Linked DNA regions of Daphnia pulex. The protein of the gene in region 1 interacts with the protein of each later gene in a biochemical or structural test. Links are inferred from orthologs where the notes say so. Each region holds a gene or a part of one and is shown in the gene's direction. Other genes may lie near its edges.

Region 1 (5,250 bases):
CCTAAAAAAGACGTAGATTAATTTAATACGTACATTAAATTTGTGAAATATTCTTTAATTATTACTGTTCCCTGATACAGGCGGTTGTTGACACATTGCGAGAGTTACAGGACAATCTTTGTGCGCTAAAAGTTGTAATTTTAGCTGGGCAACTTCGCTTCGTAAAGCTAACACTTCATTTTGTAACAGTTTGTTTGCGGTGTTCATTACTGTTGTTTTGGCTTCTAAATTTGTTACCCATCTCTTCCTTTTTTGACGAGAGCGGAATGCAGCAGCTCTGACATATAAAAAATTCGAATTAATTATAGTTTATACTTTTCAATTTATCAAAATACCGGTTCCGCTCCAGAAATCTCCTTCGTTTTTCACTTTCTTCTTCGTCCAGATCTTGATCAGATGCTGAATTGTAGACGCGACGTCGGTTGTTAGGTTTTGTAGAATCATTCACATCCATAACCTTAAAACTCAATAGAGTGAGATAACAGAAGGATTGAGGTTTGTTTAGTACATGCTAATACCGAATCTGCGTTGGTTAAAGGCTCCGTATCAGTACCACTTGCATCGCTGGTGCCACAAGGGGAATTTCCGTTTAAAGGCTGATTTGCAGGTTTAGCTTTCGTTAGCGCTTGTTTCAGTTTCTATCAATTAAAAATATTGTTGAGAAGAGTAAAGGATATTGATAAAGAAATTATTTTTGTTGGTACCAATTTGGCTTCCGACATTACTGGTCTTGCTGACTTAATTTTGCAACTACTTTGTTCCACGCCAACAGGAGCCAATGGAGATCCTACAGCAGGATTCACTATTTTAGATGCGTCAGTTTCGGTAGGTACAGGAATAGCAGGAATTTGAACTAAACGTCCATCAGGAAGACGTAGCAGAAGCGATGTCATAGGATCACTGGTGGCAGATGATTGAACAATCGGACGAGGCATAATATTCACAGTTGGGTTTGTGGCTGTCTTTGTGCAATTGCTTTGAAAAGTGTTGTTTTTCTTCGGTCGATCTTTTCTTGAACTGCAGGTAATTATTGAAGTGGAAATTGTTTTGCCGCAATCAGATAATGTGGCGGTCGTTGTATCTACTCTTTTGTTGAAAAATCCTTGGGACTCGGTTGTAGGAGCTGTTACAGTAATCAATGGAGTTGGTACAGGAGTTGTTGCTGGAGATGGAAGAGTCAGACATTCTGATGTGGACAATGATGGCATGAGGTAATTTTTTCTAACATTAGCTGATTTGGGAGGAGGCAACTGTGTAACTACATCTGAATCCAGTGGAAGCACAGGGAAGACATGAGGAGTGTGGAGAACATCATCTGATGTGGGAAGTGAAGGAGGACTGAGATGAGTCTCAGCTGCTCTTCTAAATTGCTCTAAAAAAAACAAATTGAACTATTTTTGACAAGTTTTCTGTAGTTAATAGTGGCATTTTACCATCAAAAGGATTGACATTCAAATCTTGAAAAAGCCCAACTTCTTCACAGTTTCTAATAAATCTTGTTGGGGTGGGGGTTTCATCAGCTATAATAGTTAAAAATTAGATTAATACAAAGGAAGGGTAACAGAATTTATTAACACAAAAATTTACATTTCATTTGTATTAATGAAGTACAGAGTTAGACATAAAAAAATCAACTCACCCACAAAATTAGGTGTCTTTGAGCCATTATTACTAATTGATTCAATTGAAAGGGACATGTGTCTCTTTTTATGAATACTCAAGTGGTCTTCATTGGCGAACCTCTTTAATTGCGAAAACGATGAATGAATAAGATAGCAAAACACCAACAGTCAACATTAAATAAAACTGTTTACAAATTATTACCATAGAACAACCAGGACTGGAGCAAGGAAATGGTTTCTCGTCATCCACCATTTGAGTATTTGAGGGAAATATCTTTAAACGATTCAATTGCGCAATAGAAAACGCGAAAATTAACGAAAATATTGAAGTAAACAATCTACAATCGTACACAAGTGGTTTTTCTTTCGAAAGATTCTCAGAACTGAGAAGAAAGGTATAGCAGACTACATTACGCTCTTTTAGGGTTGTGGACTTGTGGTCTGCAGACTGCAGTTTTTTGGGTTACCAAAAAATCAGCTGTTCTAACCTGCCTTCGTCTTCTTCATATGAGCACACCGTGATTTCCACTTCCAGTTCCGCTCATATAATTCCTTGAAAATGTTCCGATCATCGTTAGTTCGAAAGGCTTGTGTTGCAAAGATTACTTTGGAAAATGCAACGAAAACACGAGCTGCAAGGAAACTTTCGACGGTTGTGTTTCAGAAGGATATTTCAAGGTAATCATAGTTTTTCAACTAGCAGGAGCAAAAGCGTTTTTTCCCTATGATTTCCCATACATACAATTGTGTATCAATACTATTTATCTAAATTTTATCAAAATATATAAAAGATTACATTATCTTAGAAAGTATGTATGAAATAAGTGGATTGACGATCTGCTATTATTGTCTGCAAGCATTTTACTGGTGGTTTACTTTCTAGACGTGGAGAAACATATGTTGACAAGAGCACTGGGTATTCAACAGTCTCTATCATAACTGGACTCCATAAAACATCAGTAAGGATGTATGCCAGTGGTACACTTCCTTCCCATAAAAGAGTTGAACTGCCCGCATTGTCTCCTACCATGGAATCTGGAACTCTTATTAGTTGGGAAAAGCAAGAAGGTATACATACACCTTTAATAGTAAATTTCTTTTAATCACTCATTTGCTTGTATATATATTTTTTTAGGTGACAAACTTAATGAGGGAGACCTTCTAGCTGAAATTGAAACCGATAAGGCCACTATGGGATTTGAAACTCCAGAAGAAGGATACTTGGCTAAAATTATGATCCCTGCTGGCTCCAAAGATGTTCCAATTGGAAAATTGGTTTGCATCATTGTTGAAAAGGCTGAAGATGTAGCAGCTTTCAAAGATTTCAAAGACGATGGGGCTGCTGTTGCTGCTCCACCAGCTTCTCAACAACCAGAAATCATTACTCCATCTCAATCATCAGTTGCTACAGCTGGTATGCCATTTTATTTTTCATGCATTACATAATGCACACCTTATTTACAAGTTACATCCTTAGCTCCAGTACCCTCATCCACCGCCGCAACTTCTTCTGAGAGGGTATTTGCGTCACCATTGGCTAAAAAAATGGCTGCCGAGAAAGGAATTTCATTGGCATCTGTATCTGGTGGTTCAGGATTCGAAGGATCGATCACAGCTAAAGACCTTGATAAATTGTCTGTGGCTCCGAAACCCGTTGCTGCAGTTCCACCAACTGCAGCTGCTCCTATTCAAGCAGTTGCTGGACAAAAATATACGGATCTTCCTGTAACTAATATCCGTGGTGTTATCGCAAAACGTTTACTACAGTCCAAACAATCTATCCCTCATTATTATTTGACGGTAATAACTCGGTTTTCTTAAATATTGTGTGATAGAGAAATATTGTATAATGTAAATAATGATGCAACTTCTTACGCTAGGTGGACGTTACCATGGATTCAGTACTTTCACTTCGTCAGGAATTTAATGCACTACTAGGAAAGGATGGGGCCAAGCTGAGTGTTAACGATTTTGTCATTAAAGCTGCTGCTCTAGCTTGCCGTAAAGTTCCTGAAGTAAATTCATCGTGGCAAGAAACTTTCATTAGACAGTAAGTCAATTCTCTCATTGAACTGGTTCATGCTAGATTTTTCTATTTCGCATGTCGCGTGTCATGAACACGTGACTTGCGCAGCGATAACCCGACTACTTGTTTGTATCATAGCATAGGGGGTATAGCTCAGTGGTAGAGCATTCGACTGCAGATCGAGAGGTCCCCGGTTCAAACCCGGGTGCCCCCTCTCCTTTTTTTCAAGATTTTTATTCATTATTTTTACATATGTGTTGAAAATGTTATGACATGTCAGTAAAGGAACTATTTTTGCTTATAGGTATGACACGGTGGATATTAGTGTAGCCGTGAGCACAGATCGTGGTCTTATTACACCTATCGTCTTTAATGCTGAGAGAAAAGGTCTCGCTTCTATCAGTGCTGATGTACGCACATTAGCTGGCAAAGCTCGCGATGGAAAACTTCAGCCCCACGAATTTCAGGTAATAAATCGAAGATTGATTTAAGTAAATAACTATTTAATCCAAATTTTGTTAAATAGGGCGGCACTTTTTCCATCTCGAACCTTGGAATGTTTGGAGTTCGAAATTTCACTGCCATCATAAACCCACCCCAGTCATGCATTCTGGCAGTTGGAGGAACTGAAAAACGACTGGTAGTTGATGCATCCGCTGAGCAAGGTTTCCGTGCTGCCAATGTCATGACTGTGACGTTGAGTAGCGACCATCGTGTTGTGGATGGTGCAGTCGGCGCCCAGTGGCTGGCTGCTTTCAAGAGTTACCTTGAAAAGCCTAGCACAATGCTTTTGTAAAAAAAAATATCTAGCAAAGCAACCTTCGTGAATGTATGTTGTATCTTAAAAGTAAGGTAGTTTAGTTGAATTAGGAAATCTAGTTGATCCTAAGTTTTTTGTTTTAAAATCAAATTGGATTACCATTTTTCAGATCTGTACTGTTATTCTGTTAAAAAACCCTGTGAATAGTAGGGGACAAATAAAAAAGTGCTGACGAAATATCCTCGTAATTTATTCTTTGAATTTAACAAGCAACACGTGAGACAACAAATCAATTAAATATAAATTGAATTGAGCTCATGCCGTCATTTTAAGTTAAGTCTTCAAGTGACATTGAAATAAACACTTGAGTTAACATGGTAAGTGAATAAGGCGGGGTGTGAGAAACTGGGAAGATTGCACAAAGCCAAGCTAATGAGCTGACGGTTTATCAGGGTTTAGTGACATCAACTCCATTTCTCAGGCTGAAGAGTCCATTGCTGCTCAGACGAGCCATCACAACTATGAACTGAGACCTCTCCAGGAGTTTCAGGTGGGCGAGAAATAGATAAACACAAACCAGAATTGCCATGCACAATCGCGTTGGTCCTCAAATTGTGATGCCATAATTGTTTACTGAATCCCGAACAGGCCATAGCTCGCGCTTCGCCATCCAAATGGTCTACACAAAGGGATTCATCAGACATCAAGTAGCCTGGAAGAGTACGACCATCTTTTCGAGTGCTGTTCCATGTAGCAACCCACAAGTGTGCATCAAACCATTGCTGGACACAAGGAACAAGCTTCAGACGCCCGATTGGTTGCGATACACCTCCGCCGCCAAG
Region 2 (4,800 bases), on another chromosome or scaffold:
CGACATCTGAAACTATATAATGGCTTTAAAGAGCTGCAGATGGAGAGAAGTGAAATGAATTTTTCATTAAAGTCTATTTAAAAAAAAAAACGTTGACGGAATAAAGCGGAGTACAAGATGAAGCCTAAAATGATATTGTTATACATAGCATCAGGCAACTTGCGTGACCGTATGTGTCTATTCCCATGAGCTGAATAACTCAAATGAGACTTTATGTATTCAAGCGCGGAAGGAAGCCAAAATTCGTCTACTTAAATGAGCTTTTGAAGTATCAACATCTATAATGAAAATAAACAAGTCAAAAGTTTAGATGACGTAGAAGTCGCAAGTCTAATTGGAAATTTCGTAGAGCAGCACTCGAATTAGTTGAGTCAACAGTGTTCCTGGAAGATCGGTTGTGCAATAACTCACTTGGAAATATTGCTACTTGATTGCATATAAATAGGCCGTTCACCAAAAGATTACATGTTACATCTACATAACATTACTTTAGCGACTGACTAATTATTCTAATTATTATTTCGTCATTTAGGTTCGTCAAGTTGTACGATCTCTTCGTGGACGTGGGTTGCAACAACCTTCATTCTAATCGGATGGACGGCGATCAACAGTGTTGTAATAAACGTCAAAGCCACTACTACCTTTAACACGGCGAGGCGGAGATCTACTTGGTGAATGTCGATTGCAAATGATTCAATTCTTCTGCGTTTGTTTTCTTTTGACGTTCAAATGTGAAATGGTCGGAATGTCTGTTTGTTCGGACGAGTCTCATTGTTGCAATATAATATATGTCTGTGGTTATTTATCTCCTGTACAGATCTGTATCGCATCCATTCCAAACTGTGTGTCACTTTTTCTTCGTTTTACTCCTCCCGTGTAAATTGTATGTTCTATTCCATGGTTCTATATATCTTCTCTCAAACTTTCCAATTTCCCTTGTTCCTCAATGAAATGAGCACGAAATACTAAATAATTTCACCTATATATAAAACGAAGCCGTCGACGACAAAACGTAAAAACTTCTAACTATACTCGTTTTTTAAACACAACAAACCAATTACGACAGTTGACAACTCGACCTTTCCCGAGTTGTTTCATCAGACGGCTATCCATCAAGATTGACACATCGGCACTAGAACAAAGACGAAAGCGGAAAAGTATAATACAATATCTAGGAAATTTTACATTTTAGTCTTGTTTCACTGGTGTGTAGTGTGCTTAATTTAATCCAGATATTAAAGAATACCAAAAACTAGGGGTACATTATATTCCAAAGATGCTAGGTCAGGCACTTTTCCACAATAATGGCGATAAATCAAAGCGTCAAAATCAAATCTAATAATAATTGATGGGCACAATCACTTCCGATCACTTCCAATCCAATAGCTCAAACGGTAATTATAATGCTTCCGTTTGCCTCATATCCAACCAATGGGATTAGTTGCTAACCGTTTTTGCGGAAATCAACTGAATCCAGCACTCGCCGGAGCCGGAATAAGAGGTTTTGTTTCACAGGAAGTGCTGCAACATAAACTTAGACTTATGTGGTCGTACTTTTAATGTGTAATACAAAAGCATACATAGGCCTAAATAAGAACAAATATGCAGCTTTTATGTTCAAAATGACAAAAAAAAAATGAAAATATTCAATGTGCTTGATGTCGTGTCTGCGCTACTTGGTTGCGCATGCTGAAGCGCCTTTTCCTCCACCTACCGGTTATGTGAAAAACTATGCGTTCTATTAATAAGTCGATCACGATCAGCTGATCACGCCTTTCTGTATAAAGCACACGACCGGCTATGGCGGCTCCTCTTGCGAAATCCACAATGATGTTAAAGGTAAAAGTAGCTTGCATAATCATATCTGCTATTATTATTACTGTTTTTATTCATTTTCATACTCATTTCCCGAAACAGAATGCTTTTAAATATGTTGGACTACGAGGAATATCCACTTCTCGTCCAGCCTCTGCACAGGTATGGACGGTAATAGCAGGTTGCTTGAATGCTAAAGGCTCATATTTCATTTTAGCTTACAGTGAGAGATGCCCTCAACTCCGCCATTGATGAAGAAATGGAAAGGGATGAGCGAGTTTTCATTCTGGGTGAAGAAGTTGCTCAGTATGATGGAGCCTACAAGATTTCTAGGGGCTTGTGGAAAAAGTATGGCGATAAACGTGTCATTGATACCCCCATCACTGAGATGGGCTTTGCTGGTATTGCCACAGGTGCTGCTATGGTAAGTTTGAAGTGTAACAAGTTTTACTGACTAAATATTTTCAACTTTCCTTCCAACTATCCTCAGGGAGGACTACGACCTATTTGTGAATTCATGACATGGAACTTTTCGATGCAAGCAATTGATCATGTAATTAACTCAGCTGCTAAAACCTTCTAGTATGGATGCTTACTTCAATTTTTCCTCAAATATTGGAATCTTAATTATTTTATTCATTCTTCCATTTATTTAAGTATGTCAGCTGGATTAGTCAATGTACCCATTGTCTTCAGAGGACCTAATGGAGCTGCAGCTGGAGTTGCTGCCCAGCACTCACAGTGCTTTGGTGCATGGTATAGCCACTGTCCTGGCCTGAAGGTAGTCAACAATTCTTTATTTAACTGTGGTTCTATAATTATAACAGCTTCACTCCCTGGGGGTGATGTTTTAGGTTGTAGCTCCCTATTCCGCGGAAGATGCCAAAGGTTTGCTGAAAGCTGCAATTCGTGATCCTGACCCTGTCGTATGTCTAGAAAACGAAATTATGTACGGAACTGCTTTTGACGTTTCTGACGAGGTTTTGTCAAAGGACTTCATTGTGCCCATTGGCAAAGCTAAAATCGAGCGTGTTGGTAATACGTGAAATATTCTTAGACAAAAACAAATTTCTTTGTCTTATCTTAACTTGTTTTCTTAAACTAGGTAAGCACATAACTTTGGTAGCCTTCTCTCGAGCAGTTGCTACGTGTTTAGATGCCGCAAAGGAGTTAAGTGCCATTGGCATTGAAGCCGAGGTGGTCAATCTCCGAAGTCTACGACCATTAGATTTTGATACCGTCATGGAATCGGTGAAAAAGACAAATCACTTGGTGTCAGTAGAGCACGGCTGGCCACAGTCAGGTGTAGGCGCTGAAATTGTTTCTCGAATGGTTGAAGGTAATTAAATAAGATTTCTCCAGTCTGCATTCGGTTTCATATATCTGTGTTATTGCGAATTTCAAGGCCCAGGATTTTACTATCTCGATGCCCCACCCGTCCGTGTGACCGGCGCTGATATCCCTATGCCCTACGCCAAGACTCTCGAAGATAATTCTCTTCCTCAAGGAAAAGATGTGGTCCGAGTTGTTAAGAAAATTCTGAACGTGCAATAGTTGGACTAAGTTCGACACACCAGTGAGACAAGACCAACATCAAAAATTTCCTAGATCTTGTATACTATCTTTCTCTCTCATTCTTTTCTCGTGCCGATGTGTAAATCTTCATGGGTAGTCTAAAGAAGCATCAACTCGGAAATTTCGAGTTGTTAACTGTAATTGTTGTCTTTTAATTGGTAGTTAACGTAACTTATAACTACATATTTGATTCCTGCCTGTTATAATGGTGACTCATTTTAGTTATTTTGGCTTAAGGGAATAGGCAACGTTTCATCTAATTGTTACAAAATCAATTCAAATCTTGTGACTTCTCCACTCGCCAGGGTTCCATCACTTAAAAAAAAAATTAAGAACAAAGAAATCTGGAAAATCGTGATACCTGAGACATTGTAAGAGTATAGTACCTGAACGATTTAGTAGTAACAGCTTTGCAAAATTCTAGTCGACTAATTCAAGTCCAGTTGCCATGGGACATAATTGTCTGGATTCAAAAGCTTGTTCTCGTGAAGGAAAAATCGCAATCAAGGGTCATGGCTCATATGGAATATAAATGCTTTGTAAGGACCACGCAAGACCTTTGAATGAGATTTCATTCGTGCAAAAACCGGATTGAAATTTTAAATTTTCATATCCATTTTTTAATTAATGAATAGTGTATACTGCATAGTGAATGCCTCCCTCGTCGTTGGGGCAAGCCGTTCGAGCCCCATTTCACAGAAAATGTAAAGATAATAGTAACGCAATCAGTAATGCCCACATTGCAAACGAATTCTAATATTTAAATTTATTATGACACTAAAAACGCTGCATTAAAGCAGAATTAAAATTGTTATTTTTACCAGGTTTCAATGCAGAAATTAATAATAATTCAGACTAAGCGCATTTGCCACAAAAAGATGGCTCATTAAACTCATTAAATCAAAGTTATCGAAGGTTATGCATGTTGTCGTCGTCGTGCATTATACACTAGCGTGTCCGTTAAACCGATAACGGTGTTTAGACTACGAAACTCCTACAAGAACGGACTAGAGATATTCAGCATAGACACATGAGTTGGACAAAAAAGAAGGGTGACCCTGTCACTTTTTTCGCCACCAGAAATTTGAAAGCCAAAGGAAAAGAAAATCAAAGAAATCAGAACTGAATCAAGGACTCTGAGATCAGTTATCGAATGTACAAATTCGTTGTAAAGTATAAGTCTCTGAATCCCTCGAATCTCTCTTATTTCTTTTCGCTTCTCTTCGTAAAAGCGGAAACGAGAGAGCAATTCGTTTTTGTGCAAATCGGTTTTTGTCTTTTTGAGAGGTCGCGCCGTCAAAAATGTTGAATGAGCTCTAAATATTGGCCACCAGGTGGCTTGTTTTGTTTACTTCGCCTTGTATTGTGTAGACTGTAGATTTTGATTGTCGTCTGTGTTCTTGTTTTAAA

The links. The genes of interacting proteins can lie anywhere in the genome.
Region 2: the proteins of dihydrolipoyllysine-residue acetyltransferase component of pyruvate dehydrogenase complex, mitochondrial-like (region 1) and pyruvate dehydrogenase E1 component subunit beta, mitochondrial-like form a complex in vitro, tested with the Homo sapiens proteins (2 studies listed by BioGRID and IntAct, with this or other methods). The link is inferred for Daphnia pulex from reciprocal best matches to the Homo sapiens genes DLAT and PDHB.

What each region holds. Positions count from the first base shown.
Region 1 is NC_060017.1:7,713,359-7,718,608, forward strand, and holds dihydrolipoyllysine-residue acetyltransferase component of pyruvate dehydrogenase complex, mitochondrial-like, read left to right. Parts: upstream 1-2,029; 5' UTR 2,030-2,181; coding exon 2,182-2,300; intron 2,301-2,505; coding exon 2,506-2,690; intron 2,691-2,757; coding exon 2,758-3,036; intron 3,037-3,099; coding exon 3,100-3,422; intron 3,423-3,502; coding exon 3,503-3,672; intron 3,673-3,790; exon of another isoform or gene 3,791-3,862; intron 3,863-3,952; coding exon 3,953-4,115; intron 4,116-4,174; coding exon 4,175-4,444; 3' UTR 4,445-4,645; downstream 4,646-5,250. Other genes in the region: cyclic AMP-responsive element-binding protein 5-like, read right to left, coding at 1-1, 66-277, 336-457, 519-638, 705-1,372, 1,434-1,520, 1,640-1,742, 1,825-1,875; polypeptide N-acetylgalactosaminyltransferase 1-like, read right to left, coding at 4,873-5,250.
Region 2 is NC_060026.1:4,317,099-4,321,898, reverse strand, and holds pyruvate dehydrogenase E1 component subunit beta, mitochondrial-like, read left to right. Parts: upstream 1-1,705; 5' UTR 1,706-1,800; coding exon 1,801-1,839; intron 1,840-1,917; coding exon 1,918-1,977; intron 1,978-2,032; coding exon 2,033-2,239; intron 2,240-2,305; coding exon 2,306-2,397; intron 2,398-2,472; coding exon 2,473-2,596; intron 2,597-2,669; coding exon 2,670-2,850; intron 2,851-2,920; coding exon 2,921-3,154; intron 3,155-3,220; coding exon 3,221-3,369; 3' UTR 3,370-3,531; downstream 3,532-4,800. Other genes in the region: neurotrimin-like, read left to right, coding at 533-675. UniProt on the Homo sapiens protein: The pyruvate dehydrogenase complex catalyzes the overall conversion of pyruvate to acetyl-CoA and CO(2), and thereby links the glycolytic pathway to the tricarboxylic cycle.